Linked DNA regions of Caenorhabditis elegans. The protein of the gene in region 3 interacts with the protein of the main gene of each other region in a pairwise test. Each region holds a gene or a part of one and is shown on either strand. Other genes may lie near its edges.

Region 1 (7,531 bases), on a different chromosome or scaffold from region 3:
TTCGGCAATTACGGAGTGATCCCCCTCTCACCACCACTTTGTATCTCCCCCCTCCTTTTGCTGATACACGTACACTCACTCTCACCCTAATTGCCCACCCCGCCGCCGTCTCCGAAGATGGAAGACCACCACCACCCCTATTGTTGTCTCTATTGTGTGTGCAAATTGAGAAGAACGTTCCGCCCTTAGATGGATGTGTGTGTGTGTATCTAATATGGCCAAGGTTATGAAATTGGGAGAAATGATAATTGGCGGTGCAGGAAACGGGACGATCACGACCGGACAGACCAGATGTCTGATTAGGAGACAGGTGGATCCAAGAATCTGACTTAGGATCCGGTGAGGCTATCTAGGACAGAAGCTTGGTGATAATGGAGATCCCAACGAATTCTTTGATATGCTAGAACAACCGGAAGTCTTTAGATCGAAGCTTAAGCCAAAGGAGACCTCCGATCCTTCCGATCCTTCCATCGCTAGGATCCCCTACAGCCTCTAGTAAGAACATTCACATCATCTGCGGATCCTTCTAAAATTTACCAGCGCGAAGATCTATCCGAAGGATCTTTCCACCGATATCCTGAGATCTGAATTTTCTGGGAAAATCTACAATTCTACAGAATCCTTTGATAAGATAATTCTGACCCTTATGCTGCTTGGATTTCTGCGCGATCGATTGTGGCGATCAACCACACTGGGATACTTAGGATCTTAAGGATCCTCACAGTACCCCCCCCCCCCCTCTTAGAAGCTCCTAAATGCCTAAGGATCCTTCCAAAAGCTCACCCAGATCCTTCCCACCTTAACAACTAATTCATTTTCCAATTTCCAGGTTCGCCGACCAATAGAAATGCGCAAAAACCACATCCAACAACGCTACCGCCGAAAGAACAAGGAAAAAGAGTCGTCGGCGGCAACACAGATCTTCAACCAACTCCTCACACAAATGCCGACGATGGCGACCGGCGGAGTGAGCACTGATGGAGCCATCAACACATTCAATTTACTCGAGCAAATCTCGCAATTCACGCAGGCTCAAGAGCTCATGAATAGCAGTGCCACATTTTAATTATCATTATTATTTTTTCCCCCTTCACATCCTTTTTATGCACAATACCTTTATGTAATTTTTCTTATTTATTGAAATTTGAAATTTGAAATTCTCCATAATGTATTATTGATTAATAAGCAATCCTTCATCATTCCATTACCCCTTCAGAAAAATACAGTATTAAATAATTTTCCGCCAATTTTCTAATAATAATTGTGCCCCATTTCCCCCAACTTCACCGCGTGTTTCCGACTGTGAGCTTTACCTCCTCCTCCGACAACTTATAATAATAGTTAGGCTCCGCCCCATTCTGCAGGAGGCCCCTCCCCCAATTCTCTGTGCATGGTTGTGTTATATTCACCTCCTCCCACCACTTTGTCATTTCACTTGAATCATCATTTTTGCATTTTCATATTTATTTTGAAAAAATCTCATCTCACTCTCTCTCTCTCTCCTTATCTCTTGTGGTTTTTGACGGATAAACGTATGTATCTCATTCTATCACTTTTAGCTTTTAACTTCGTCCTCTCGCTCTCTCGCACTCTCCCCTCGCTCCACAGTCTCTCTCCGTCTCTCTCTCTCTCTCGCTCTCCACTTCTTCTTCTTCTAAAACAACGTCACACGTGATTTACAGATGACGTCGTCGAAGGAGGAGATGCCGGATGAGATGGTGAGCCGGGAGGTGGAGGAGGAGATGGAGGATCGGGTTGAGGAGACGGCGACTACAGCAGCAGCGTGCACCGGATGCGCTCAGCTTCACAAGGATATTCGACAGGTGCATATTATTTTGTTTAGCAGTAGGCTCACGCGCCTGCCTACTCTCGACATTTGGCTCCAGCTTCTTGCCCAAGTTTGGCCTAAAAAATATTAACTTGGATAAGAAGCTGGCTAAACTTGGGCAAAAGTTGGGCAAGACTTTGGCAAAACTAAAATCTGGTCAGACTTCTACCCAAGTATAACTAAAAAAAAGAAAATTTTGGACCAAAGTTTGGTAAGAGTTGGGGGAAACTTTGGTGCAGCCTGAATCCAAGTTTTGCCCAAGTTTTGCCCAATTGCCAACTAGAGCCAAATGCCGATAGGCAGGCATACATGAAGTAATTCTCGGATTACCAGAAACATTAAATTATTTTTCATTTCATTGAGAATTTCTGAAATTCTAGGAATTTGAATCGCCGCGCTGAAAGCTCCGGTCTATTCGTTTTCTTACAGGATGTTTCAAAAATGATGTCGAAAATTGACGAAGTGTGCGGAAGGCTTGAAGCTCTTATCAGTGAAAAGGAAAAAGTCCTGCTTGAGCAAATGTCCGAGAGCGGAAGCGAGGAGAAGGTGAGATTTTTGACAACTTTTAGCGGCCATGTTGCAAAAGTTCTGCGGGAAGGAGCTGGTGGAACTTTAGAAATAAGCCAAAATGGGCTGAAACTGAGCTTATTTCGCAGCATTTTCCCGCCGCCTGACAATTTTCGAGAAAGAAACTGAATCTGTTTTAAAGTTATTTTCTCAGTTTTTCGCGATTCTGAGCCATTCCCAAGAAACTTGTTTATTTTTGCATCCACGTTGATCATAACTTCCTGCTGTGTCCCGTGGTGCCAGGCTGTCCCATCACGGTTTGATCTACAAAAAAATGCGGGATTTTCTTTGTTTCTTCAAGTAATGTGACGTCAGCACGTTCTTAACCGTGCTAAATCAGTTGAGAAGTCTGCGTCCGAATTCTCGCGATTCTCGTAGATCTACACGTAGATCAAACCGAGATGGGACACTCTGATACCACATGTCATAATTGTAATTTCTGGAAATCAAGAAGACCAAATCACGAAAATTTTAAATTTCAGTATCCCCCATCACCAACTGAAAGCCGTGCTTCTCCGTCATCAGTCGGAAAGTCGAATGGAGGGTGCCGCAAACGGAAACCCACCAAAGAATCTGTGAATCGACATTTGGAGAATGGAGGTAGTGACTCGCCTTTTGAGAAAATCACAAGGAATATTTCGACGCCGGTTTCCGCGAGCTCTCCGTTTCCCGATTTTCAGAATTTCAACGGGTTTGTGTGTAAGTTTCATTGACTTTAGAAAAATAAAGGTTCTTAGAGTGATAAAGCTTTTAATAGAACCACATAGACCTTGGAAAAGACCTGAAAGAGCTGCCATGCCTACCTGCGCAGGATATCCCAAGATCTTTGTACAAATCTTTGAAAACTTTTTAGTCGATCCCATGGCCAATCCACAAAATATGATGAACTTGCTAAACCTTGTGCAGCAACAACAACATCAAGCCGCTGCTCATCACCATGCTCAACAGCAGGCGAGAGAGCAGAAGCCCGTAAAAGCCGAAGAGTCAAAGCAGCAGGAACCGTCGGAGAACAGAAACCAATCGCCAAGTGCGTCTGTTGAGCAGACTCTGCTCGATCAGCTCTCTATGCAGTTCAACGGGGTTAGTAGCATAGTCTTCAGACCAGACTGCTAAACCAAGACCTAAACCAAGTCTAAATTCCAGAAATCACCATCACCAACAGTACACGCATCCACCGCCGCGGCGGCTGGTAGCTCGGAGGACGATACAAGTGCCAACTCGTCCATCTCGAAATGCTCCAATTGCTCCACAATAAAAACGACAGCGTGGCGAAGGGATTTGGAGGGGAAGCTTGTTTGTAACGCGTGTGGATTGTATTATAGGCTGCATAGGGTGAGTTGGCTGAAAATCTGAGGGTTACTGTAGGTACAGTGGTTACTGCTGGAAACTCTTACAGAGATTGAGCCCATAACTACTGTAGAGAAGTACATGACGCCTAGCTAGCACTCAAAAAACCAAAAAAGGAGCTTCAATAGTGTTGACCCAATTCAAAACACACAACCTTGACAATATATATATATCCGTCGTCGCGTTTCAAAAGATAATTAGAAGATTGCGCGTACGCTCGTCCTCCGATTACCTCTTAGAAACCCATAGGGGCTGCTGATGTTATGTACTACTTCTAGCTACTGGTCCACTACCACCACCACTACCCATCTCGAAAGGTCGTTTCCGACTACGACGACTAATTATCGATGAAAATTGAATGGGTTTTGAGTGAGTGAGGAGGATCTTGATGATGGTTTTTGTGGTCAAGAAAGAGAGAGAGAGAGAGAGAAAGAAGGAAAAAAACCAAAAGTGTGAGCGAGTTAACGAGTTAAGGGAAGTATTGAATGAATCTGGAGAAGGGATTTATAGCTTAGGTTTGGCTTATATTAGGCTTAGGCCTAGGCCTACATTTAGGCGTAGGCATAGGCTCAGGCTTAGGCTTTGGCTCGGCCTTAGGCCTAAGCTTAGGCTTAGGCATAGGCTTAGTCTTAAGCTCAGACTGAGACTTAGTCTTAGGTCTAGGATTTGTTTTAGGCTTAGGCTTAGGCTTATGCCCAGGCTTCAGCTTAAGCATCGGCTGAGGCTTAGACTTAGGCTTATGCTAAGGCTGAAACTTAGCCTTAGGCTTAGGCTTAGGCTTAAGCTTAGGCCCCCGAACTACTTTTTGATGTTACCGCTGGTTTTGAGAAACTACACGTCCGAAAAGTCTGGAACCTAAAACCTTGACAAATGACATTCGGATAACCGGATGTTCGGTTTGTGAGCCCTAACTGAACCAAATAACTCGCAGCATTAAAACGTTTAGGATTCATCTGTGGAGAGACCCAATTTCAGACCTCATTTTTCAATATTCTCCCCCCTGAACTCTACAAATTTTCAGACACATCGGCCGGTTCACATGCGAAAAGATTTTATCCAACAGCGATTCCGTAGAAGAATGAGGGAAGATGAAAATGTGAGCCGTTGTTTTGCTCAATTTTTTTCCAGCGAAAAAAAAACTCTTTGGAAAAAACTCTAAACTTTTCAGCCAGCAACCAGTCAAGCAGCCGTTTTCAGTCAACTTCTCGGCCTACCGAGCATGGCTAACGGTGGAGCCAACGCGCTGACCTTTCTCGAGCAAATTAATCAGTTGAATCAGTCACAGGAGCAGCGCAAGTCTCCCTGATTATTATATTTTATTATCTCGTGTGATATATCCCCCAATGTCCCCTCCCGATCAACTGTGAGCTTTATCAGTATTTCCGTTTTCACTTTTCCAACAAAAAATCCCACTGACCCCTGCGGTGGTCTCTGAAAAAACAAAGAATCTCAACATTTTTTTTTTTGCAATTTAAATTTTTATTGTATTCCCCCTTATTAGAAGTGCAGGTCTCTTTCACTTTGTCGCAATATCTGAACAGAATAATCCCAGCACCGAGTTTATTTGTGTGCATATCCATGTTCCTTTAATAAATATTATCATGCAGGAAGGAAACTTTTAAAAAGGTTTAAGCTAGTTTCAGATCAATGAAAGCTTTAAAAAAGGGGAAACTTTTGGGTCCCGCCACGAAAACCTACAGTAACCCGGAGAACTTCATGGCGGGACCCTGTAATTTACAAAGGAAAACATGACATTATTGTATCCAGATTGAAGCTCTCAGATTGATGAATTCAATGTTTAAAATTATATCCCACCACGAAATTCCCAGGGTTACTGTAGGCTTTCGTGGTGGCCCAAATTTTCTCAAATTTCAAAGAAGTATGGGAAGCTCATATTTAATTAACATCTCTCAATTGCATAAAAACCTTAAAATCTGAAATTTCGAAATTTGAAAAAAAATTTGGGTCTCAAAACGAAAATTCTGAAAATTTGTCCAAACCTCTGGATTTTCAATTTTTGGTATTTTTCCTAGATTCAGCTCGCCGAGAGCTTCAAAATAAGTATAATCATGGCTAGGTTTTGATAGTTTTGAAAATTTTTGGGTCCCGCCACGAAATCCCTCGGGTTACTTTCGTGACTTTCGTGGTGGGACCCAAATTTGTCATGATAAGACTTAAATTGAAGCTATTAGTGAGCTGATTTCAAATATATCTGTAAAAATGGACATTTTTGGGTCCCGCCACGAAAACCTACAGAAACCCGATGTTTTTTGAGTGTCACTGTTATGTCTGTTATTAGTTGGCCAAGTGTTTTAAAATAAGTATAATTATGTCTATGTTCAATCAATTTTCAAAAATTTTTGGTCCCGTCACGAGTTTTCGTTTCGGGACCCAATATTTTTGAAACCTTATTACAACTGATTAGATTTGAAAGTTAAAAGCAAGTATATTTAATAACTGTTATTTTAATAAACAAAAAAAATTAAATTTTTTTTTTAATTTCCGCAAATATTTGAAATTTTCACAGTTATTTTGTTATTCAGCGTATTTTAAAACTTTAATTTTATTAAAATTAGTATTAAAAAATCTTATAAAAATGTTTAAAAATCCAAAATTTGACAAATTCAAGGTCCCGCCATGAAAACTACCGTAACCCGGGGATTTTCGTGGTGGGCCCTGACTTTTTTAAAATTTTAACAACTTAATGAAACATTTGAGTTCATCAATCGGAGAGCTTCAATTTGAATACAACCATATAAGGGTCCCGCCGAGAAACTCAATGGGTTACTGTAGTTTTTCGTTGCGAGACCCAAGAATTTCGGAAACTAATGGAAATGGGTCATGATTATACTTATCGTTAAGCTCCAGGCGAGATGAGTGCAAATTCGGAAGAAAAATTTTGAAAGTTTTTGAAGAATTTATTTTGTTTTACTTTTTTTTCGGAATTTTTTAAGTTTCAAATAAATGTTTTTTCACTCGATTTTTTAATCAAGTTTATTCTAAATTTTCAAAGTTTTCAATAAAAATAAAAATTAATAAAAAAAAATTTCCCGTCCAGTCAGTGCTCCACGGAGCCCCCACTATTCTTCTGCTCAAGGACATACATTTCCGGTGTATTTCCCCCGCAGCCGCCCGTGCCTATTATTCGTTCACCGCATTCGCAATACTAGTTGGATACACAGCGTTGTAAAGACAATTCGAATACTAAAAAATTTTGCGAAAATCTGAGAATTTTTAAACGTCCCAGAGAATTGTTACGTTTTTTTTTTCCGGAGAATCGGAACTTTTCTTTGATTTTTCCGGTTTTTTCTTATAAAATTGCATTTTAAACGATTAATTTCCCCTTTTTACTTCCAGTTTTTGAAAAAAAATTGGCAAAAATATAAGAATTTTAAACTTTAAAACCCCCATGGGTCCTATAGGGCGTCTGTCGCAAAAAAACCATTTATCATATTTTTCTCATTTCCTTTCTCAGTGATTTCTCGAAAAACTATCTGAAGGAACTAATATTTCGAATAAAATTATATCCTCAACATGAACAACTGCGCTCCATTGCAAATCGACAGGTCTCGCACGGATTTTCTCGGGTTTTTATGCTGAAAATTGGGAAACTTGAGTGAAATGTAACGTTGTTTTTGAATTGCAACCCTAAATTTGTTTTTTAAATATTTTTCTCATTGTCCGACCAAAAATCGAAAATTCAGATTTGCACCCTCAAAATCTTTTTTTTGTTGGATTTTAAACAAAATTTTCTTCAAATTTTCTATTTTTAAATGATTATTTCCGATA
Region 2 (6,249 bases), on a different chromosome or scaffold from region 3:
CTCAATCTCATTGTGATATAGACTTCCGAGCACCGAGTTTAGACCATCTGCGTCAATATTCGGATCTGTTATTTCCATCTGAACTCTTCCACTATTCGACTCTGTCCATAAACCATCGAACATTGACTAAAAGCATTCGAAATTAATTTGAAACAATTCAAAAAACTCACTTCAAAAAATTTGGTCTGCTTTAGATAAAGCTTGTGAACCCTCCATTCCCTGCCACACGCAGCCAGGACAATGTCCGAATTTTCTCCCTGAAAAAATAACGAAATTTGAGAAAATTTCCAAATTTCTTTCAATTGAATTGTTTTCTTTCCCTACTAATTATACAAAGGAATTTCAAAATAATTATGGTCATAGTTTTTTGGCGGCAATCGGAAATTTCCGGCAATTCTGACATTTGCCGGTTTTCAAAATTTACGGCAATTGCCGGTTTTGGAAATTTTCGGCAAGTGCCGGTCTTCAAAATTTCCGGCAATTTCGCCAATTGCCGGTTTTGGAAATTTCCGGCAATTCCGATAATTGCCGGTTTTCAAAATTTTCGGCAATAGGCAGTTTCGGCAATTGCCGGTTTTGGAAATTTCCGGCAATTCCGACAATTGCTGGGTTTCAAAATGTTTGGCAATTTCCGAAATTGCCGAAAACTCGATTGTCGCGCACCTCTGATTGAGTGAAAATTTCTGAAACTACATACCTGTGAAAATTAAGTTTTTAAAAAATTAATTTCTCAGTATTAAACTGTTTTGTACTGAAATTTGTGATAATTCTGAAATTTTTCATCAATTGCATACTCAAAATGCGAAAAAAAGATATGTCTCAATTGAAAAACGCCGAAAAAATCTTTGATAAAATGTCAAATTTTCAAAAAATTTGGACTTTTGGAAAAATTTACGATATTTCCGGAATTTTAAAAATTCCAAAATCATAGTAAAAATCAATTTTTGGTAGACGTTCAAAATTACGAGTGGCCCTGTTTTGCCTGTAATTTTAAAAATTCTGAGAATAAAATTTCAGCACAATAGTAACAATTTTGGCAATTTTCTCTTGCATGCAAGACTAATAGAGGAAATACGGTATATAGTTGGCATAATTAGTGAAAAAATACTAAAATGTAGGTTTTCGAACTAAATAATCAGTTTTTTCTTTTTCCATGTTACAAAATTAAAAAAAAACACAATTTACCAGATTCGTGACGAAGAAATCTCAAATTTGTTGAAACAAAACATTCATTTTGGAATTTTATTGCATTAATTTAGTCAACTCCATATTTTAGTTACCCATTTTGCACTAAAAATTCAATTTATTCTAACCTGTAAAAACAATTTCTGATATACATATGCACATGTGTTCAGTTTTGCCACTTTCTTCATCTCAATCTCACTTCCTTTTGCCGCTTTTCGTTTTCTTCCCCGTCTTGGACCAGACTCTTCATACACATCCATTACTTGATGGTCATTTGGAAGTGGATCACGAGAGGGCGTCCGCGAGTGGGACTGAGCTAATCCCATTTTTGACTGGAAAATAATGTTTCAGTAAATCACGTGGTGTCAGATGGCTCATTTCAGCTGGATTTACTTAGATCTACAAAAAATGCGGGAATTTAGATGCAGAGCTGTCAACTGATTTCGAATGGTTAAGAACGTGCTGACGTCACATTTTTTGACCAAAAAATTCCCGCATTTTTGTAGATCAAACCGATTTATTAATATTACTGTCTTGTATAAATGTAAGGGGGAAAAGGCAACATATGGTTAAGCCGTCGGCAACGACGCAAACAAATGGTCAGTTGAGAAAGTGTTTGAACACGAGAGATTACGCCTTCTGGAGACGCAGACGCGCAAGCGCACATTGCCACAGGGTCAATAAATGTTTTCACGTGAGGAACGGGGGTAAAGAAATTCCTAATTTTCAGTTTTGGAATATGTATCATTAAAAATTATTTTCATGTTGCTAGTACGTCTTATAGAGAAGCTTCGAATTCATTTTATACATTTGAATAATAATGAATTTTTCAAAGTTTTACACATCAAAATGATCAAAATGATGTGTAAAACCTATAAAATTCAATATTATTCAAATGTATAAAGTGAATTCGAAGCTACTCTATAAGACGTACTAGCAATATGAAAATCATTTTTAATGATGCATTTCCTAGTACTAAGGAACATCGTATGAGGATTTAAATAAATAAAAAGTTTCATTGAAATTAAGTGAAAACATCATAGAGATCATGGAAAATAAGTGAGACCTTGGTAATCAGATTGTTTTAAATATCAGAATATGAAAATATGAATTTATGCTTTCAATTCCTCTGGCTTTGATTCAGTTGGCGTCTCTGTCAAGCGTCGAAGTTCAGATGCGACTCCATTTCCGATTGCAGTCAATTGGGGGAGCCAAACCCGTTGAGACACGATTCCAAGTCCATGTGAAGCTGATGAAAAGGTCTCCATTCCATTGTTCAGTCGCATGTTGTTCGACGGTTTTGGCTCGATTCCAGTGATCGGAGGGACGACTGATGTGAAAACTGATTCAAGTGCTGACATACATTCTCTGAAATATTTGGAATTTGGCGTCAGAATTGAGAAATTGGAATATAGTCAACTTACGTGAAATCCTTATCATTCATCAACGCATCCAGATCTGCATCCTCGTCAGCCAATGCTTCATGAGCAACTTCTTGAATTATATCTTGAACTGGATAATCATCTCGTACAGCTGTTCCAAGATCAAGTCCCAAATGAACAGCTTCCGCTTCGACCAAAGCGATCACTTTGTTGGGAAAAGCCTTCTGTTTCGCATTCAGTTGAACCTTGATTCCATGATCTCTCAGTTGAGCGCGCATCAGTTCACCTCCATTCTTCAGTTTTGGCCTTTTAAGATTGCATGCGATACTCGAACTATTGAGCTTCTCCGGACTTTGCAATCTTCGTCTCATTTCCTCGACTGTGACCTGGAAGATTATTTAAATTTTAATATTGAACTTCTACCGTAAACGTACAAAATAACATGTCTGATTCTGTCCCATAGATAGTCTTCCATGAACCACATCAAATGCCTGATCTTTCGGACTTTCCAGTTCAAATCCACTCGGAACTGCATTCTCAATAACCGGAGTCAAATTAATGTTTTTTCGAACATTATTGCTCATTTTCGGAGGCGGCTTGAAAGTGCTCGGGTCCTGTTCAGTGACCGGATTCGGGTTGAGAAGACCCGCCAGCTTAATCGCAAATTGTGCCTCCTCGGAGAGCATCGGTGCGTATTCGAAAGGTCCACGTGGTGGTTGCAACTTTGCATCATCAGACGTGATTTTTCCTTTTAAAAGTTGTGCCAAAAGGGAGTTGTCTTCTTGCTCGGCAACGGCGGGTTGGGTAGAGCACTCTGCAGAGCTTGAAGGGCCAGTCTCTTTTGTGGCGGGTACTGTAGGTACTGTAGGTTCCACAGGTCCCACCACGGGTTCCGTTGGAACAGTAGAGTTGAGCGTGGTGAACATCTGAAAAAGTAATAAATGAATAAATTAAAATACGCGAATGGATTCAAAAGCAGACAATATAAATTTACAGAGTTTAACAAAAAAGTTGATTGTGACGAATTTTCGCTTCTTCATAATATCCTTTTTTGAATAATTTGAATTTCCGCACTTTAGCCACTTAACCACGCCCATTTTTCTGTGCCGCACTTTGGTTTTTTTTATCAATTTCGGCAGAAAGTTGAAAAATTCGTCAGAAATTAACTGTATTTCTAAAACTTAATTTTGTGGGATTTCAGCATTTGGATCCATTTGAATATTTTAAAGATGGGGTACCGAAATCTGAACCCTTGCTTTTTTAGACCCAAAATGACTCAAAACTACCGAATTGTGTAATGAGACGTTTTGGAAATTTCTCAAAAAAAAAAGTTATGGTGGCTCAAAGTTCTGGAAAGAAGGCTAATTTTCAGCTAAAATCAACATTTTTGTCTAATTCTCGGTGTCGCAGCGTCTGGAACTTAATTTTGATTCAATTATCACTTTTTAAAGAATATTTTTGTTTTTTATTAGGCGTTTATTCGTTGATTTAAGTACATTTATTGTCAGTGGGGCACAAAAATGTAACTTTTATTTGTGTCCCACTTACCGAAAATATGTTTAAATCAACGAATAAACGCTTAATAGAAGACCGCAATAGTCTTTAAATAGTGATAATTACATAAAAATGATGTTCCAGACGCTGTGACACCGAGAAGTTGACCAAAATTTTGATTTTAGCTGAAAATGTGCCATTTTTCCAGAACCTTCAACTGCCATAACTTTTTTTTGAGAAATTTTCAAAACGTCCCATTACCAATTCGGTATTTTTGGGCTATTTTGGGTGTAAAAAACAAAGTCTCAGATTTCGGTACTCCAGCTTGAAAGTAAAATTGTTATTGCCAGACCTCCAAATTATGGAAAAAAAGCAAAAAAAAAGCTGAAAAAAAGGGAAGAAAGAAATGACATTAATAAGGTAGATCGAATGCCTTCTACAATATTTGACCTCATTGGTTGTAAATCGTTTATGGTGTGGAGATCAAATCTGTGCGCGCTCACCTGTATATCCATTCTTTTATTATTGATCTACTCTTCCAGTGTTGCAAAAACATCTGTTTTCTAGGTGACATCTCCAGAAGAATGTGCCAAGTAATGGAATGGAAGAGAGAGAAAATGTAGAGAGAGGGAGAGGGATGAGACGACGAGAGGAAGTGACGACACTCCGCTTTCCTCCGCTTTTGGATTTATTGGAATTTCAGAATTGTTCGTTTTATAAGTTTAATTAAATATTAAATTTTAATTTTAATTTAAAATATTTTTATTTTTAAAAATATAATAAAAACACATTCAAAACATTCTATACATTTTTTCAAAAAACCAATCAAAGGAGGAGTTTTATTGCTTTATTATACTCAAAAAGGCCCGAATACCCCGAATTTTATAACGAGAAAAAAATTAATTTCGAAGAAAAAATAGAATTTTCCCAATTTTTCGTTACACAACGGTTAGAAATTGATTTTTATTTGATTTTTCTTCTATTTTGAATATTTTTATTGGTTTTCTTGCGTTGTTTCGTTAATTTATCATCTAAAATTTTAATTTTTAAATCCAAACTATTAAATCAACAAAAAAACAGAAGATAAATAGGAAAATGAGCAAAATAGGGCAATAGTCAGATAAAAATCAATTTCCGATCGCTGTGAAACGGAAAAGTTGGTGAAATTGGAGATTTTAGCGGAAATAAACCTTTTAAAAGCATTTTTGAACAGTCTTGTTATGAAATTCGATATTTTGGGACCATTTTTAGTTTAATAAAGCAAAATAATTTTTGATTAGCTACTCTTTTAAAATTAAACTTGTTAAAATTGTTTAAATACATATTTTTAAAAATAATCTGGAATTTTTCAGAGACAATGGATGATTCTCTTGGAGTATCAGAAGTTGTAATGATTCCATTCATGAAACGAGAAGTTCTCCAGCAAATATGTGCGATTTTAGATACGGATAACACTTGGGAGACGATTGGTTCGGACTTTTTTATAACAAATCATTGAAATTTCGCGGTTTTTGCTCCAAAAATAGGGTCTCGAAACGACAAATTTTTGTTATATGCGAAACGGTGTGCGCCTTTAATTCTTAAAGCACTTTAAAGAATAGTTATTTCAAACATTCGAATCTGCGGATTTTTCATCGAATTTTTTTATAGTTTTCCTTTAAAGGTGGTGTAGTCGAATTTTTGTTATTGCTTTATTAGACTCAAAATTGTCTGAAAACACCGAATTTCTTAATAAAACTTCTAAAAAAAGTTATGACAGCTTAAAAAATGGCCTAAAATAAGTTAAAATTTGAAATTTGACCGACTTGTAAAGCGGCTGGAAACGAACTTTTTTGAAATCACCGTCTAATTGTAGGTATACCAGTTAATTATCTTGCGTTTTCAACTTGATTTAAGTATTTTAAAGTCTATGGACGACGAGATTTTTAACAATTTTTTTAAACCAAATCTCGCCGTCCATCGACTTTAAAATACCTAATTGTAAAGTAGTAGTCGAAAACGCAAGTTAATTGACATGTATACTCAAAATTTGACGGTGATTTCAAAAAAATTGTTTCCAGCCGCTTTACAAGTCGGTCAAATTTCAAATTTTAACAAATTTTAGGTCATTTTTTGAGCTGTCATAACTATTTTTTGAGAAGTTTTCAAAAAGTTTCATTATGAAATTCGGTGTTTTCAGATAGTTTTG
Region 3 (9,670 bases):
TATGATTCAAGTGGATTCTGATCAAACAGATGAAACAAAAATGGAATCATTTCAAAGAGCAAACTTCATTTTTCGACATGATAATGGAACATGTGATCGAAAATCTGTTCATAAATTGAGGTAACTTTTGGAAAATATAATTTCGTAGATTTCGTGCCTTCCAAACAAGCCTGGGTTCGGGTTTGCTTAAAAAGTATTTTAATAAATTTTCTCAAAACATTTGCTCAGGGTTTCAAGCTTTTCGGGTTATCGGGTTTTCCGTTTGAAATACAGTGATTTTTTCGATTTTCGGAAAATACCAAGACCAATCAGCTATTCTACCCGCACACTTTTAAACCAATTAGAGTAATCGAACTCCGCCTACCCCGTCTGATTGGTTCAAACGTGAGAGGAACATATTGACCTCATTTTACGGAAAATTTAAATTTTTCTGATTGTGTCAGTTGGATCTTGTCCCTACTGAATTTAGACTATTTCAGATATTTTAAAGAAAAGTTCTCATTGACCGTACTACAATTTAAAACCTCCATTATATATTTATTTATAGTCTCGTTGGAAAACATTATTTTTTGTTCGAAAATGTTACATTACTGAAATAACCTCCGTAATCCTATATAATTTTTCAGAGACGCCGTACGATTAGCGTTTCCCGAAAAATTGAAACTTTTGGATCAAAGTCCATATGGAGAGAGTATGTTCACTCAATTACACTATATGTATAAACATATTTTTAATATTGATCGTTATAATAACAAAGTTTTTCTAACAGTTCATTATACTTTAGTCTAGATTTCTGATTTTTCAATTTTAAATGCTTATTGTTGATTTTTCGGGTTGCATTTGTTCCTTTCGGGTATTAATGTTTTAATTCTCCAATTGCCGTTTCAAACCAATAAAAATTCAACGAAACCTTTAATTGTTGAAAACATTTCTGATTATCAAAAATGGAACGTTTTGCACGAGAGAAGGGCAATTTTCATAAAACAGAAGAAAATCACATGAATAGATGACGACGCTAAGTCTTAAGAACATTCAGAAAAAGGAGAGAAAAACGGTTTAAGAATAAGTTAAATATGAACGAGAGAGGGGGAAATTAAGGGAAAAAGAAAGCGAAATAGTTATTTAATTTAGAAATTATAAAACCACATCCGTTCGATAGTTTTAGAAAAAAAACTCAACACCCTCTAATTTTGGAATTAAAGATGTATACTTCTTCAAATATAATCTGAACTTTGAACATCACTGAAATTGAAATATCAAAAAAAGTGAGCAAAATCAAGACTATAAGAGAAGAAGCATATTTGGTACAAACCGTCAATTTTTTGGAAGTTACAAGTTAGGGATACTAATCGATAATAGTGGGGGTGGGGGTGGCGATTGTGGAAATAAAAATAATCAAAGCGATGGGAATATGATTACAGGAAAATGGAGAATGACCGTGATGGAAAAGCACGTGGATTTTCAGATTTTCTCGAAACTTCGTCTGAATTTTGCAAAAAGGAAATTTTTAAAAAGTGTAGGAGAAAGAGAGGGAGAGAGATGCCGAGAAATCATATTTGAATACAAAAAATCATACAAAAACAACCCGGATTTCAATCAGAAACAAGTTTTGTTATGTTGTCGGTAGTGGATAGAGGAAAAGAAAAAACGGTTTAAGAATAAGTTAAATATGAACGAGAGAGGGGGAAATTAAGGGAAAAAGAAAGCGAAATAGTTATTTAATTTAGAAATTATAAAACCACATCCGTTCGATAGTTTTAGAAAAAAAACTCAACACCCTCTAATTTTGGAATTAAAGATGTATACTTCTTCAAATATAATCTGAACTTTGAACATCACTGAAATTGAAATATCAAAAAAAGTGAGCAAAATCAAGACTATAAGAGAAGAAGCATATTTGGTACAAACCGTCAATTTTTTGGAAGTTACAAGTTAGGGATACTAATCGATAATAGTGGGGGTGGGGGTGGCGATTGTGGAAATAAAAATAATCAAAGCGATGGGAATATGATTACAGGAAAATGGAGAATGACCGTGATGGAAAAGCACGTGGATTTTCAGATTTTCTCGAAACTTCGTCTGAATTTTGCAAAAAGGAAATTTTTAAAAAGTGTAGGAGAAAGAGAGGGAGAGAGATGCCGAGAAATCATATTTGAATACAAAAAATCATACAAAAACAACCCGGATTTCAATCAGAAACAAGTTTTGTTATGTTGTCGGTAGTGGATAGAGGAAAAGTAGAAATAAAATATCAATTGAAGAAACCGAAAAAAGTTTGAAATTTTCACTTCCTCGTTTGACGTTTGACAACTTCGATCAGCGCTTTCTGTTGTTCAGGTGTCAGTTTTTGAAGTTGTTGGAGAGCTTGAACATTCACTTGACCATTACTCATGAGAGCTTCTGAAATGTTTAAAACTTATTTCTTTTCGATCAATTTTGTAGATTGAAATGTTAATATTCCAACCAGAAAACAATGGAAAATCACAATTTTTTCTTTCTAATCTCGTAATAAACAATTTTTAATGTTCTAAATCTTTCACAAAATCGCCCAAAAAACACTTACGAATTAGCATTGATTGTTGATTCGCCTCTCTATTTGCCTGTGCCTGGGCTTGAGCCTGTGCGGCCTGAGCTTGTGCAGCCTGAGCTTTTGCCGCCTGAGCTCGTGCGACTTGAGCCTGAGCAGCTTGCATTGCTTGTGCTTGGAATAGCATGGCCATTTGATTATTTGCCATATTTGCCGCCCCTCCTCCCATAGCTAAAGCTTGGTACATTTGCAACTGGAAAAGGATTTATTTTTTGAAATTTCAAAAAAAAGTGATACCATTTGTTGCATTTGAGGATTATTTCTCAACATTGCTGTACTGAATAATTGATTCATTCCTTGCATACTTTGTTGTTGCAATTGTGCTGCAGTCTTCTTTGCACTTGAACTTGATGATTTTGGTGTCGAGTGTATCTGAAAATTCAAAATTAATTGTTTTTTCCTAACTTTTGATATTACTTAAAATGTCTAGAAATACTAATTTTTTAAAGTAACATCAAGCTTCTTCAATGCCTATTTTCTTCTGTTTGCATGAAAAAATTATACACGAATTTAGAAAATTGCGAAATGTTATAAATTTTTAATAAAAAGCTCATAAAATATATGTCTTTTTGGAAATGTTGTATTTTGAACTTTTTTAACTGTAAAAAATATTTTCCCAGGTATATTCCTCAATTTTGAATTATTTGGTTTGAAAATAAAAATCTAACCGGTGTTGACGTCTTGACTGCTTGTGTTGGTGTACTTGATCCAGTTGATGATGGAATTTGTGGTAATCGTGGTACAAGTGGAATTGATGAAACAGTTGCTGTTGATGATGTTGGTATTGTTTCTGAATTTAATTTTATTCGCATCGGGGAATTTGAATTTTTTTAAAAAGTTTTTAACAGCAATACAACGATTTTTAAAAATACGTGTGTATTAGTCCCAACTTTTTGGAATTAAACTGTTCAACTATTAATGTGACAATGACTTTAGGCGTCGATCGTCGTCTAAAAAATTTCGATTTTTTAGAGTTTTTCAGAGAAAATTTTAAAAACCGAAAAACAGAAATATTGCGTTTTTGAAAGTCGAAAAATCGGGAAAAAATGACGAAATTTTTTTGAAAGAAGAAAAAACTATAGATTAGCAAAATATTTGTAAAAAAAGGAAAATATTTGTATTAAAATTTTTCAAATTGAAGAATTGTCGGAAAAAATTTGTTTGGAAATTTTATTTAAAATTATATAATTGGTTTTTTTTTAAATTATGATATACAAAAACCCTATTTTTTGTAGTTAGTGCAAAGATCTATAGTTTTCAAAACTAATTCTTTTCATAATTTTAATATGATTTAGATCATTTTAGTTTTTTTTTCAGATAGCGGACACAATTTTTATACTTTTATATTACTATTTTAACTTTCAAATAATAAAACTAACGAGATGTAGCAGGTGCTGCAGCTTTTGCTTCTGCGTACTGCTCCAATTGTCCTTCGGCAATTTTCTTTTCGAACTCCTGTAATAACTTTTAATTCGTTTAATAATCAGTTAAATTTCGAAATAAATACCTTTTCTTGTGCCGTAATCTTCTGGAAAGCTCTCTTCAATAAAGCTGTCTGATCTGTTCGATTTTTCCTTTTTTGTGCTGATCGTACACAATTTTCACAATAAAGATGAAGATCATCTTGTGTACTTCCAATAGCTTTCCAAGTGTGAGCACATTCGGTTTTACATTCTTCACATTCGTATGATGGTCCGGCATATGGTCTGAATATAATTTTTTTTTTAATGAAAACATTTCAATTTTGAACATTAAAACTTTCGAGGTTTTTAGTTTCTAATGCAATTATCAAACATTTTTTGAGAAATTAAAGTCCGGTCTGATTTTTTTTCGTTTACAGGAAACCGAAAACTCTATAAATGTTCGTGTTTCGATTTTCAGTTTGGCTCAAAAACCTAAAACTCAACAATTTTTGAAATTTTGACTGTTTGTATGAAATGTGATACGAGCCGGAACAGAAAAAGTAATTCCGGAAATGATTCTGAAATATTCAGTTTTTCTGAAACCGTAAAGCGTTCGTTTTTCGCTTTTGATCAAAACCAAAAATCTAAAAATTTTCAAACGTTGGTAATTTTTCCTGTTTTATAAAAAAGTAAATCAAAATAAACAAATTGTTGAAATTGTCTGTTAATTTTCTCAACAATTTTTCCGAATATTTCTGAAAAAGTCTCCACATTTTTTCGACGACACCCGTGATCACAATGTGTTTTAACAAATCATAGTTTGAAAAAAAACTCACGTCTCATTAGATCTATCTTTGAGAACATGCTGAACCACTAGATCCAATCCATGCAATGCCAGGAATGCAGAAGCATTCGGATTCGGTAGGAAAGTGATATCATGAGGTTGACTTTTTTGTGTTGGAATTGTTGTCAATTGCTTATCAGCTTGAGCTCTGAAAGCCAGCCGAGCTGCTTGTATCCTTTGTGCAGGTGTCTGTTGATTTAGAAGTTTTGATTGTGTGATTTGAGCCTGTTGTGGTTGCTGTGCTTGTTGAGATTGTTGTACTGCAGGTGATGCAGATGCAGAAGCATTTGTTTCAGCAGCAGAAAGCTCTTTTTGCTTTTGAAGATTTTGATTATTGATTGTAATCAGTTGTTGGAATAGTTGAGTCGTTTGTGCTGGATTCTTCTTTGCCATAATGTATGCTTGTTTGGCAGCTGGTGATTGAGATGATAGTTTTTGAAGTAATTCGAGTTGTTGTGGAATTGAAAGATTCTTAAGTCCATTCATTGTTTTGTTATTTGACTCAATCATCGAATTCTTTCCATTAGTAACAGATTTTCCATTTGTAGCAACCGCTGGTTTATATGCTGCAGATGTCGCTTCAGCAAGATCAGCAGCTTTAGTTTCGGCGGCCAGCTGGAAAAAATATTAATACAAAAAAGTTTTGATCATTTATTTTTATTTCATACAGATTTCAGTTTCACAAAGAGTTTCCTTCACTTTTGTCGGTTTTTTTGAAAATGTGTGTTTTTTGAATGAAACATTTTATCAGCATAAAACTTGAAGCATTTCCTATTCTCAGATCATAACTCGCCGAAAATTTAACTACAATTCTCTCAGGGCAAAAATCCGGAATTTTTGCGAGTTTTATGATGAAAATTTTTTTAAACTATTTGTGAAGTTACACTTTTATCTAAAATTGGCGTTTTTATTTCTCGAATAGTGAAGAAAACGAACCTTGGTGATAGCTCTTGTCTGACTATCCTTCATTTTTCTCAAAACTAGCAATTTTGCCTCTTCTTCTCGTAACTGATTTTCAGCTTCTCTTCTCATATTTAAACGTTCTCTTAATTGTTCCTCATCCGGTTCCTTATTCTTCATTTTTTCATAATGATACCTCACAACTTCCATTTCACTTTCATGAATTGAAGAATTTTCACTCTCATCAGTCATTGCGTATACTTCACCTTCATTATTCGCACGAAGTCCAAATCGGAAACATGTTTGATCAAACTCTTTTCCATTTTCGAGTCTTCTTTTTTTTGGAGCTGATTGCTCATTAATTTCATCTCCCAACTCTTCATCTTCCATATCATCATCATCATTCGCCCGTTTTTGTGGTCCTTGTACAATATCATCTTTCAGTTTAATCTTTTCCTGAGCCTTCAGAGCACTTGCTCGTGTACTCCGCCGCCGTAGATCACTCGGTGAAAGTTGTAAATCATCGGTATCGATTGATGTTGAAGCTCCATTCAAATCTTTTGTAGGTGTTCCATGAAATAGAACAGCTCCATTTTGAATATGTGCAAGTGCAGCGACGGCTGTTGAAGCTGATTCTTCGATACTCAAACCATTTCCATTCTTTTCAGGAATCCCATTCATAGGTGACGATGGAACTTGTTGAACCTTTAAAAACATTGGGTTTAAAAAGTTATTCGAATTTTTTCAATTAAGATTCTAATTTTCAACTAAATTTGAGGTAGCAAAAATTTTAAAATTACACTAAAACTGTCCAAAAATAGACTGAAAATGCTTATTTTCTCATTTATTAGGGTAAACCTTCAGTCTTCTCCAAAATTTGTTATTTTTTGTGAACTGAATTCGGAATTCAGTAAGTTTTAATTTTAGTATTTAGATTGATCGAACTCGCTACCCCATTTTTAATGAAAATTACTTGACATAATAAATATTAAATTTGAATATTCCAAACACGAAATATTTTTTGAGTTCGTTTAATATAACTGTAAATAGAAACACCTACCTGTGCCATATTTATTGTATATAAATACTAAATAAATGGAATCCAGTCAAAACTCAAGTGGAGCGGAGCAAAATAAAAATCGATTAACACCGTTCGTCGAGAGCTTGCATTGGAGTCCAAGAGAACAACAGCAATCAGTTAGTGTTGAGTTTGTTCTGGAATAAAAGTTGAAATTATAATGTCACCGGCACTTATAGTGTAGTGTAAGAAAGAGACGCAGATTAGTAAAACAAAAGATTTGAATATCCAAAACGAGGTGGTGTCCGTGTGACGTCACATCATTTCACCCAATATAAAAGCAATAAGAGAGAGAAGAGAGCGCAGAGAAAATGGGGAATGATGATAGAAAGAAGATACGCAGATAGTGAGAGAAAAAAGCAAAATGTTATTAGGGAAAAAAAGGGAAGGAGGTTGAGATGATCATGGGAAAAATTAAGTTTTTTTTTCTTTTGAAATGTTTGATGAACGTGATCATCTACAACTCATCAAAAGCCACCTACTTTCTACTTTCTACTTTACTTTACCACACTACTTTCGTGTCAATTTTTCCAAGAGTTATTCATATTTCCCGTGGTGGAGAGTTGAACTCTTTTTCTAGTTTTGCTAGTTTTGCTTAGGCCGTACTGGAAAGATTCGCGAAACTCCATACAAAACAATTTAAGATTAGAGCAATTTTGAGATACTGATATTTGGAAATATTCACAGGTTTCTGGGTTCTTTGTGGTCAGAATCTACTAAAGAACAAATCTTTATTCAAAAATCGTTTAGTGAAGCAGAGGTCAACAAGAAACGACACAAACAGTGTTTTTTTTTCGAAAAAAAATTTAAAAAAATTTCTACACTTCTGCGACTTTAAAGGAGAGCGCATTTTTGTGAAATGGTCTCGCCACGCTAGAGCGCGTGGCGGGACCATTTCGAATAAATGGTCACCCCCTTTAAAGTCACAGTATTGGAAAAGAATGTTTTTTGTGTGCAATGCAGATGGTAATATCGTAGAATTTTTATAGTTAAAGAAAAATACAATGTGGCGAATTTTGTGAAAATACCAATTTCGAAACTATGAGGTTTAACTAATTTTGTACTGCAGGCTAGAGAAACAATACAAAATTATTGGTTCAAGGATCATAATTAGGTTGGAGATACGCAACTAGGTGAAGTCTCCGTAAATTTAACCTAGGATAGTCTGGAATTCATGAAACGGTAATCCACCAAAAACCATGTTAGCGAAAATTCAGTCCTGAAAGTAATATATTTGGAATAGATTTGGAAGAGCTGTGGACTTCTTTTCTCTTACAAAATGTTCTAGAACACACTAAAATGGTGGTGTCTTGCACCGACAAGTACGGTGGTAGTACTTGGCACATTCACAAATACAAACATTAAGCGCGTGAGAAACAAATTGAGATGACGGCGACGATGATGCTGATGAAGACTAGGATGAAGATTGAAAACCACTAGGAGCGGCTGAGGGTGCGTGGACGGACGGGGACGGACGGACGAAGAAGATGAAGGAAGGCGGAGGAGGACACATAAGTCAATCGATTATTTCTTGTTTCGCTTCATTCTACTCGAACAATGACACTCGGCCACACACACACACACACACCCTCACACACACAAAACGCACACACTCACTCTCTCCCTACTTTCTCTCTCTCTTTCCATCTCACACGGCCCGAACCTGACCCCAACTGGGATTCAATATAGGTGGTGCCAAGACGGCAGCAGCTGTCCAACTGAATATGCTCAAACGTCTAATCATCATGTCCTACTTGCTCTGCCAACATCGCAACCACTCTCCCCACGTCGGGAGCTGAATCTAAATTCGGTGTTGATTGAACACTTCTAGGTTCGAAACTCTATGTTTCGCGTTCAGAAAGACTAAAAATCTAACAAAACAGTGTTCCTACATATACAGTCTCTAACAAAACTTTTAGTTTCCAAAAAATAGAGCTAGGTGCGATGACTACTACTGATTATCGGATCATCGGAAGGTAAATTTCTAAACCAGGACACCGCTACTTTGAGATCATCACAACCGAAATTGTCTTCTAAAAAGAATAGAATAACCTCAAAATTACGCTAGGATCTATGCGTCCATCTAGAGTTGATGGCAACCTATCAGTATGCGAGATAAGTCGGTAGAAGAGAAGAATGAGAGATGACCAACTTCTAGAAAAAAAAAGCCTATTCATAATGGTCGAAACCCGCAGCGAAACGAGGTCAAGTCATTGAAACTTCCTTGTTCGAAATAAATCAGTCACATATCTACTCACAAGTGATGCGTAAATCAGATGGATCATTGCTCCAAAATATGGTAATAGGATCTATCAATATAAAAGTTATAACAGAAATAGTTTTATAATAGCGACCATCTTACTATGCCTTGAAAACAATAAATCAGTTTCAGAATAGTTTGAAAATATGGTTTTACTACTCTCATCTTCCTGACCAAGAGCTTCCATACAGAAAATCCATGGAAAACTTCTAGACAGCTTTGGCTTTCATGAAATTTCAATTGTGAGTATGTGAGAATGCGAAACATCATCCCTTTCTATATTCCACTGAAAAATTGAGTAGAGCGCCAGTGGGCGTGTCTTCAAGCCGCCCGGGCTCTGGGACACCCTGCTCAAAAATCAATGCACACCGCTCTAGGACAACGCAAACTGCACAAACTGCAAACTGCAAACCACCACCCAAGTAGCCGCACCGGCACAAAAAAGAGCGACGACAGACGAAAGAGGGGGGTTACATCACCGAAGAAGGCAGCTAATGTGAATAAGGCGAGAATTGAGAGATAGAAGACACAACGACAAGTGCAACGTGTGGGAATAAATTAAAAACAATTTTTTCGCCAAAGACTATAACGTTCCTAA
Region 4 (8,485 bases), on a different chromosome or scaffold from region 3:
CTTACCAAACTTTGGTCCAAAATTTTCTTTTTTTTAGTTATACTTGGGTAGAAGTCTGACCAGATTTTAGTTTTGCCAAAGTCTTGCCCAACTTTTGCCCAAGTTTAGCCAGCTTCTTATCCAAGTTAATATTTTTTAGGCCAAACTTGGGCAAGAAGCTGGAGCCAAATGTCGAGAGTAGGCAGGCGCGTGAGCCTACTGCTAAACAAAATAATATGCACCTGTCGAATATCCTTGTGAAGCTGAGCGCATCCGGTGCACGCTGCTGCTGTAGTCGCCGTCTCCTCAACCCGATCCTCCATCTCCTCCTCCACCTCCCGGCTCACCATCTCATCCGGCATCTCCTCCTTCGACGACGTCATCTGTAAATCACGTGTGACGTTGTTTTAGAAGAAGAAGAAGTGGAGAGCGAGAGAGAGAGAGAGACGGAGAGAGACTGTGGAGCGAGGGGAGAGTGCGAGAGAGCGAGAGGACGAAGTTAAAAGCTAAAAGTGATAGAATGAGATACATACGTTTATCCGTCAAAAACCACAAGAGATAAGGAGAGAGAGAGAGAGTGAGATGAGATTTTTTCAAAATAAATATGAAAATGCAAAAATGATGATTCAAGTGAAATGACAAAGTGGTGGGAGGAGGTGAATATAACACAACCATGCACAGAGAATTGGGGGAGGGGCCTCCTGCAGAATGGGGCGGAGCCTAACTATTATTATAAGTTGTCGGAGGAGGAGGTAAAGCTCACAGTCGGAAACACGCGGTGAAGTTGGGGGAAATGGGGCACAATTATTATTAGAAAATTGGCGGAAAATTATTTAATACTGTATTTTTCTGAAGGGGTAATGGAATGATGAAGGATTGCTTATTAATCAATAATACATTATGGAGAATTTCAAATTTCAAATTTCAATAAATAAGAAAAATTACATAAAGGTATTGTGCATAAAAAGGATGTGAAGGGGGAAAAAATAATAATGATAATTAAAATGTGGCACTGCTATTCATGAGCTCTTGAGCCTGCGTGAATTGCGAGATTTGCTCGAGTAAATTGAATGTGTTGATGGCTCCATCAGTGCTCACTCCGCCGGTCGCCATCGTCGGCATTTGTGTGAGGAGTTGGTTGAAGATCTGTGTTGCCGCCGACGACTCTTTTTCCTTGTTCTTTCGGCGGTAGCGTTGTTGGATGTGGTTTTTGCGCATTTCTATTGGTCGGCGAACCTGGAAATTGGAAAATGAATTAGTTGTTAAGGTGGGAAGGATCTGGGTGAGCTTTTGGAAGGATCCTTAGGCATTTAGGAGCTTCTAAGAGGGGGGGGGGGGGTACTGTGAGGATCCTTAAGATCCTAAGTATCCCAGTGTGGTTGATCGCCACAATCGATCGCGCAGAAATCCAAGCAGCATAAGGGTCAGAATTATCTTATCAAAGGATTCTGTAGAATTGTAGATTTTCCCAGAAAATTCAGATCTCAGGATATCGGTGGAAAGATCCTTCGGATAGATCTTCGCGCTGGTAAATTTTAGAAGGATCCGCAGATGATGTGAATGTTCTTACTAGAGGCTGTAGGGGATCCTAGCGATGGAAGGATCGGAAGGATCGGAGGTCTCCTTTGGCTTAAGCTTCGATCTAAAGACTTCCGGTTGTTCTAGCATATCAAAGAATTCGTTGGGATCTCCATTATCACCAAGCTTCTGTCCTAGATAGCCTCACCGGATCCTAAGTCAGATTCTTGGATCCACCTGTCTCCTAATCAGACATCTGGTCTGTCCGGTCGTGATCGTCCCGTTTCCTGCACCGCCAATTATCATTTCTCCCAATTTCATAACCTTGGCCATATTAGATACACACACACACATCCATCTAAGGGCGGAACGTTCTTCTCAATTTGCACACACAATAGAGACAACAATAGGGGTGGTGGTGGTCTTCCATCTTCGGAGACGGCGGCGGGGTGGGCAATTAGGGTGAGAGTGAGTGTACGTGTATCAGCAAAAGGAGGGGGGAGATACAAAGTGGTGGTGAGAGGGGGATCACTCCGTAATTGCCGAATTTTTGATCCAGTGGAACTAATGGAAGGTCTTCTTGGGTATGGATCAGCTGATCTTACACCTTACACCGGAATCTTGAGGATCCTCGAATCACTGGAACCAATGAAACTTCTACAGATCATCAGAATCTTGAGCGATCGCCTCAAGATTGTTGGGATATCCTTGCTAGGTTATTCTCTGATGTTCCACCTCGGGAATCATCGACCTATTCCAGGAAACAGTGAAGCTCTGGTGCTTCTTAAGATCCTCAGAATCCTCAGGATCCTCCCTACAACTACCCCCGCCGCCAAAGTTTCGATATGGATTGGCGTGCGGAACCAAAAAGTCATTGGTGATGATGATGACGACGTTGAGGCTGGATTGTTTGCGCGCGCACGCGTGCACTAGTTTCATCTCCCCCTAATTGTCGGTGCCGGTGGTGAACAATAAGACGTCGTCGTCGTCGTTTCTTCTCCTAAAATGAATAAGAAAAGGAAGAGGTGGAAAGTCTATTCGAGTTACAGGTAATCATTGACTCGTCTCCTTCTGCGGCACGCACGCCGCCGCCGCCGCCGCCGCAGCCGATACGCTAATTATCGAGGTGGAGACGACGACGATGACGACGACCACATAATGGTTGAAGTGATGGAAATTGAAAGAAAGGTAGATACTGTATCGATGATGATGGAGATGATGATGATGATGAGGTGGAGAAGGTGGAGGTACTGTACTTTTGACCTACTGGGGTGGTAGAGTTCGAAATTCTTGATAATGCGGGGATCTTCAACAAGAACCAAGTAACTCAGAGCTTCTGATAAGGATCAGGATCGCATATGGGACGATCAGATGATCTGAAATCTTCACCTGAAGCCCAGGATTGCCAGGCTAAGAGGGTTATCACAGGCTCTCTGGCCTATCTAGGATCACCAGGATCCGAACATTCTCCAGAACGATTAGAGCAGCTTTAGAACCTGGATAGAGCGAATCTTCAGCCTTCAAGGATCGGCAGGACCCGAGAACCTTCTGATAAGATCTAGGATAGCTTGTGGAGCTTAGATCTTAGAGCCTTTAAGGATCAGAAAATCCTAATCTAGCCAAACTGACCTAGAAATCGTCTTCGGATCAATATCAGTCGCACAACTAACACATAAAAAGTAAGAAGACGAAGAAGATGGAGAAGAAGAAGAAGCTAATCTCATATTTCAATCTCCCCTCTCCTTCACTCCTATTTTCCCCTCATTTTGCCGCTATCTTAACTAGGTTGTTTCCTTCTATTCGCATCAGATAACAAACACTCTCTTATTCCCCCCATTAGAAGCTGTTACTGCTGCTACTCTACTGTCGCTGCTAATATCTTTCTGCTAATGAATAACACGACGAACAAACCTTGTGCAATCGATAGTAGAGCCCACACGGATTGCAGACAAGCTTCCCCTCGGCGTCACGTCGCCACGCGGTTGTCTTGTCGGTTCGGCAGTTGGAGCATCGCGCCGCGTTCGGATCACCACTCGTCTCGGTTTTCTCAAACATTGAACTGTCTTGGCTTTGGGATGATGGTGTGGCGACTGCTTCGATGACCGCTTGTACTTGGGATGATGATGATGGTGGAGATGTGGTGGAGGTCTGGAAGAACTGATATGTGATTAGGAGTGAATGTATTTATTGATTGATTGAAGGAGCTGCTGAAAGATCGCAGAGATCCTAAAGAACTCAGGGTGGATCTTAGAAGCTCCTCAAAGATCCTGAAAAACCCTAAAGCAGCTAAGGAGCTCTGGGAGGTTTCAATGGATCCTGGCGACTTTCAAGGGCTCGCTGGAAGTCCGCTGGAAGTCAGGGCAGCAGTTAAAGCTTGTCAAGGTGCGCAATGATCCTGAGCAACTTTGGGAGCTTCCGGACCTTCACAAGGGTTTCCCCAGAAGTAGGCTCCTCAAGGAACCCTGCGAACTCCGATCATAGAGCTTCGGGAACTTCTCCCCAAAGTTCTCGAAAGATCCTAAATCCAATCAGGATCCTAGAAATCCTAAGTGCAAAAAAATCGCGCAGCGGTAGATTTTCAAAAGCGAACGCCGCCTCCCGGGGTGATATATCTTTCCTTTGTTCGCCCCCCCCCCCCCCCCCCCTTTGGCCCTTCCTCAACACTTACCGCCTGTCCGTTGCTGCTAAACTGTGCTGTTAGTGCATCCAAAAGGTTCTGCGCCTCTGTAGCCGTCGGGATATCGGATCGCTCCGACTCTTCCTGTTTCACATCCTGATCCATTGGATCTTCAATTTTCACGGATTTCGATTGTGGTGGGCTCACGGATTGTTGATTCTCAATGTGCTGGTGGTGTTGTTGCTGCTGCTGCTGCTGTTGAACCATTGATAATAATTGCATCATTCCATTTGGATTTGACATATTCAGAGGATCAAACATGAATCCGTTCATCAAATTCGAAAAGTCTGGAAGTGGACTCGCAGCTGCCGGTGGGCTCCGCTCCTTGGGCTTCCGCTTCCGGGCTCCTGATACTGGAGCGACTACTGTCTCGACAAGCTTCGGAGAGCTCCTCGACTCTGCCGGTGATGGTGAGGCTTTTCCCGATGAGACCGATGAGCTTTTCAGCTCATTGTTCTCTTTGAGCAGCTCGTCGAGCCGATACTGAAGTTTGTCCATTCGCTCCATAACCATGCTGATTGTCTGGAAATTTTTTAATTGTTAATGGTTTTTTGAGCTCTAAATTACCTTTGCAACATCCTTCTGTAACTGTTTGCAACCACTACACGGCTCATCTGACGGCCTCTGGAGCACTTCGTGGTGTTGTTGCTCGGCGGATTCTGGTCTCGTTTCCGTCATTATGCTGATCGACATATAGACTGTGTGGAGACACTGCAAAAAATGGAAAATTTAGAGGGAAAATGTGCAGGGGAAGTAAAATATCAAGAGAGTACGAGGATAAAATTTTGACCTGAACAGAGTTGGGGTAGGGCTTAAAATGGGTGATTTTGGACTAAAAAACTGATTTTTCGGGGGACAATTTTATTTGAACCTTAAAATGTACTACTATGGAGGTACCAGAAATTGACGGCCTAAACGGCCTAAAATAGCCGTTTTGTATGGAGAATTCAGGCCGATAAATAGCTTAGTTTTAATTCTTAAAGGGTCAATTTTTATCAATAAAAGCCTATTTAAAAACTATTTGGGGCTAAAAATACGTAGCATAAACATAGGGATCTACTCAAAATTAGCAATTTGGAGATTAAATTTAAGCTATGAATCAGAAAAATGCGGACTATTTCGGCCTAAAATCGGCTTAGTTCAAGCTGAAACTAGACAAAAAATAATCAAAAATATAGGTCAAAACTTTAAAAAGGGAGGCCCTCCTTACTGACAAGAATGGACCAACAAGTAAATAACCATAAAATGACACTGATCAACGCGAAGAAAATGGGCGGGATATTGTGTGGAGAAGAACGCTACTCACCGCCCGTCTCCGCCCCTTTTCCCCCAGCCGGACAAACGTGGAAATTAGGTGGATAGGGGGGGGGGGGGGGGGGAAGAGGGGAGACGATTTGTTGTGTTGTTGTACGACAAATTATGCACGTAGTATCACCCCGACACTAAACCTAATCGATAATTGTAGATGTGCCAAATTTTAGCTTGTCGATAACGGAAGTTGTTTGGAACTGTGCCAAGTGTCAAGGAAACTCGAAATATATCAATTTTTCAAAATTGGTGTCTTTTTTTTTGCATAAAAAAGCTGGAAAAAAACAGATTTTGCCGGAAAACCGTTGTAATTTTTCGATAAAAAAGTGCTAATAATGATCCCTCCGAAAAATTCAGCTGCCCCGGTTCAGGTACAGCAAAGTGATGGCGTTTTGAAAGTCTCTAAAACACCTTATTACAAAATTTCCAAAAACAAAATTGGAATCTTTGCCATGTTTTTTTAAACATTTTTTTGATTTGCTACAATAGTTTTTATCAATTTAAAAAAAAAATTTTTTTTTTGAAAATTTGAGTTTCGGTATAGATTAAGGATGGGCGGCACATCGGCAAACTGCCGGAATTGAAATTTCCGGCAAATCGACAATGTGCCGGTTTGCCGATTTGCCGAACATTTTCTGCAAATTGGGAATTTGCACGTTTTTTTTTAAATTCTGAATTCCAATTTTAATCGGCAAAAAGTGTACGCATCCTTTTGAAAAGTAAACAAATTCTATGATTTCCGGCAAATCTTATGTACGGCAAACGGCAAATCGGAATTTTTTTGGCAAAAATTGCAACTTCCGGAAAATCGGCAAATTGCCGAAATTGAAGTTTTCCGGCAACTCGGCAAACCGGCAACTTACCGACAAAAAAATTGGCAAAACGCCAAGTGCCGGCCACCCATGGTATAAATGCTCAAAATTGGTCGAATCGAGCGGAGAAATCTGTGAAAAAGCTTTCACCGAGCCCTGAGCTAATATGCCAGGTAAAAAATCAAACAATTTTCCAGGACAAGGCTGAATTCTCAGCTAATCTCAGATAACACCTGCCGAGAACCTGTGTGGCGGTAACACCCTGGTGGTCCATCTGACAAGGAGACGATGCACCATAACCGGTCTAAGAGCCCGTAAACAGTGGTGTCCTAACACAAGAAACGATGAGGTGATGAGTCCGTGATGAGTCCGAACAAAGGAATGCAGTGGAGAATGTGAGTGTATGTGTGTGTGTGTGTGACGATGTTAGTGAGAAGATGGTAATCTTCAAACATTCTTATCGATTCGATTGGATGGCTGCTGATCAGAAGAGTTGATTGCGATCTTCTCTTCGAAACGAAGTCTCTCTCTTTTTGCCTCAACTTCTTCCTCAACATCCTTCCTTTATTTGGGCCGTCGTCACACGCGTGTTAACACCGAATCAGTTGCGCACGATCGGGAAGAGAGAGAGAGGGGGTTGTTAGATATAGATTAGCATCTTTTAGTAGGGGGGACAAGGAAAGACAAGCCCCATGAAAGTGTAGAAAGATAGGAAGAAGAAAGATTATCGATGATTATCGCTCCGACACGGATAGGAACCCATTGGCGGCGGATCCTCTGATAAGTTCATGGGTCTTCAGTGGTGGAGGACGGTCTGAGGGAAACCTAATCACCAAGGTTACAGAATTTTCAGGAAGCATCCGTGCCGAATCGAGCTAGAATTCCAATTTTGAGAGGTCGAAAAAAATCCAGGAAATCTCAAAAACTGCCAAAGATCGTGGAATTTTTCAGGCACCGCAAGGAAACAAAACCAGGATATTTCTGATGAAATTCCGAATAGCGAAAACCACGAGTTTTGCTGAAATTCGGCCAAATTTCCTTTTTAATACGTTAAAGTAACCGGAAATCTCAAAAATTGCCAAAATTTCGCAGCTTAAAGCCCTGAGCGAAAGGGAATCTAGGAAATTTACATTTTTTGAAATCTTGCTGAAAATCGGCAAAATTTTAATTTCACTACCCTATCCTAAAAAGCCAAATTTTAATTTCTAACAAGGGAAGTCAGAAAACGGGGATTTTGACATGCCATAGTATTTTTTTTTCGATAAAAGAGTGCTAGTAATGATCCCTGCAAAATAATTTAGCTGCCCGGTTTTGAAAGTCTCTAAAACATCTTTTTTTATAAATTAAAAAATTCCAAAAATTCCAAAAAAAATTCTTTAAAAAAATGGGAAAAAAAATTTGTAAATGGTTCAAAATAGTGAAATACATACGACAAAAAACCCACAAATTGATCTACCAAAAAACCTACTTTTTGGAATCTTGCCAAAGATATGTAGATCAATTAATGTGGTTTTTTGACCGTGGTGGAAAAAAACGTAAAAATTTTTTGGAAGTCTCATCATTCACGTAGTGCTCGGCTGTCCCATTACGGTTTGATCTACAAAAAATGCGGGAATATTTTTCCCACAAATATGTGACGTTCTTCACCATGCGAAAAGAATTTTTGTAGATCAACGTAGATCAATCCAAAATGAGACACTCTGACACCACGTGATCATTATTAGCAATTTTTTATTGAAGAATTACTATAGCATGTCAAAGTCCGGCTGAAAAAAGCTCTAAATCGCCGATTTTAAAGAGAAAATTTACAAAAAAAATCAGTATTTTCCCAATTTTTCGTAGATAAAAAAAAAATAAAAATCGCTACTGAAAATCAAGAAATTCTCGAAATTAAGCAGAAAAATTGACGCATCAGCACACTTTTTCGGCTGAATATTGTCCTTTTTGCGATAGAAAACGCTGGAAAATATGCCAAAATGCGGAATTCGAACGATTTAGAGCCGAAATTTGCAATTTTTGTCCTCAAAAATGCATTTTTATAACATTTCACATACAAAACCACCGGATTTCCTAGCGGTATCACCCGAATTTACAGCCCACCCTATATATATTCTCCTGGCCGTACTAATAGTAAATTTGAAAAAACCCTAAAGGGCTCATAAAACATTGTGCGCGCACGCACATACACACA

What was found.
Region 1: the proteins of dcp-66 (region 3) and elt-6 interact in a two-hybrid assay, tested with the Caenorhabditis elegans proteins (one large-scale study listed by BioGRID).
Region 2: the proteins of dcp-66 (region 3) and aptf-2 interact in a two-hybrid assay, tested with the Caenorhabditis elegans proteins (one large-scale study listed by BioGRID).
Region 4: the proteins of dcp-66 (region 3) and egl-18 interact in a two-hybrid assay, tested with the Caenorhabditis elegans proteins (one large-scale study listed by BioGRID).

Annotation. Positions count from the first base shown.
Region 1 is NC_003282.8:1,916,295-1,923,825, forward strand, and holds elt-6 (Transcription factor elt-6), read left to right. Parts: upstream 1-1,682; coding exon 1,683-1,823; intron 1,824-2,257; coding exon 2,258-2,374; intron 2,375-2,877; coding exon 2,878-3,094; intron 3,095-3,248; coding exon 3,249-3,475; intron 3,476-3,538; coding exon 3,539-3,727; intron 3,728-4,763; coding exon 4,764-4,838; intron 4,839-4,910; coding exon 4,911-5,048; 3' UTR 5,049-5,350; downstream 5,351-7,531. Other genes in the region: Putative transcription factor egl-18, read left to right, coding at 830-1,066.
Region 2 is NC_003282.8:13,411,379-13,417,627, forward strand, and holds aptf-2 (Transcription factor aptf-2), read right to left. Parts: upstream 4,674-6,249; 5' UTR 4,577-4,673; coding exon 4,565-4,576; intron 3,494-4,564; coding exon 3,002-3,493; intron 2,954-3,001; coding exon 2,610-2,953; intron 2,554-2,609; coding exon 2,298-2,553; 3' UTR 2,182-2,297; downstream 1-2,181. Other genes in the region: gcl-1 (BTB domain-containing protein), read right to left, coding at 1-126, 171-257, 1,314-1,511; Pelle-like serine/threonine-protein kinase pik-1, read left to right, coding at 5,419-5,530. UniProt on the Caenorhabditis elegans protein: Sequence-specific DNA-binding protein that interacts with enhancer elements to regulate transcription of selected genes. Required for neuroblast and epidermal morphogenesis, perhaps acting in cooperation with transcription factor aptf-4.
Region 3 is NC_003279.8:7,535,209-7,544,878, forward strand, and holds dcp-66 (Transcription factor dcp-66), read right to left. Parts: upstream 6,952-9,670; 5' UTR 6,804-6,951; coding exon 6,795-6,803; intron 6,440-6,794; coding exon 5,771-6,439; intron 5,450-5,770; coding exon 4,827-5,449; intron 4,294-4,826; coding exon 4,095-4,293; intron 4,052-4,094; coding exon 3,967-4,051; intron 3,378-3,966; coding exon 3,256-3,377; intron 2,960-3,255; coding exon 2,825-2,959; intron 2,781-2,824; coding exon 2,564-2,780; intron 2,401-2,563; coding exon 2,285-2,400; 3' UTR 896-2,284; downstream 1-895. Other genes in the region: C26C6.4 (Nucleotide-diphospho-sugar transferase domain-containing protein), read left to right, coding at 1-120, 627-789. UniProt on the Caenorhabditis elegans protein: Transcription factor which binds to the 5'-CCATACATTA-3' motif found in the promoter region of pgp-12 and activates its expression in the excretory cell.
Region 4 is NC_003282.8:1,909,854-1,918,338, reverse strand, and holds egl-18 (Putative transcription factor egl-18), read right to left. Parts: upstream 4,894-8,485; 5' UTR 4,868-4,893; coding exon 4,742-4,867; intron 4,697-4,741; coding exon 4,166-4,696; intron 3,655-4,165; coding exon 3,409-3,654; intron 1,216-3,408; coding exon 979-1,215; 3' UTR 501-978; downstream 1-500. Other genes in the region: Transcription factor elt-6, read right to left, coding at 222-362. UniProt on the Caenorhabditis elegans protein: Probable transcription factor. Involved in embryonic development and in vulval development in larvae, acting redundantly, at least in part, with elt-6.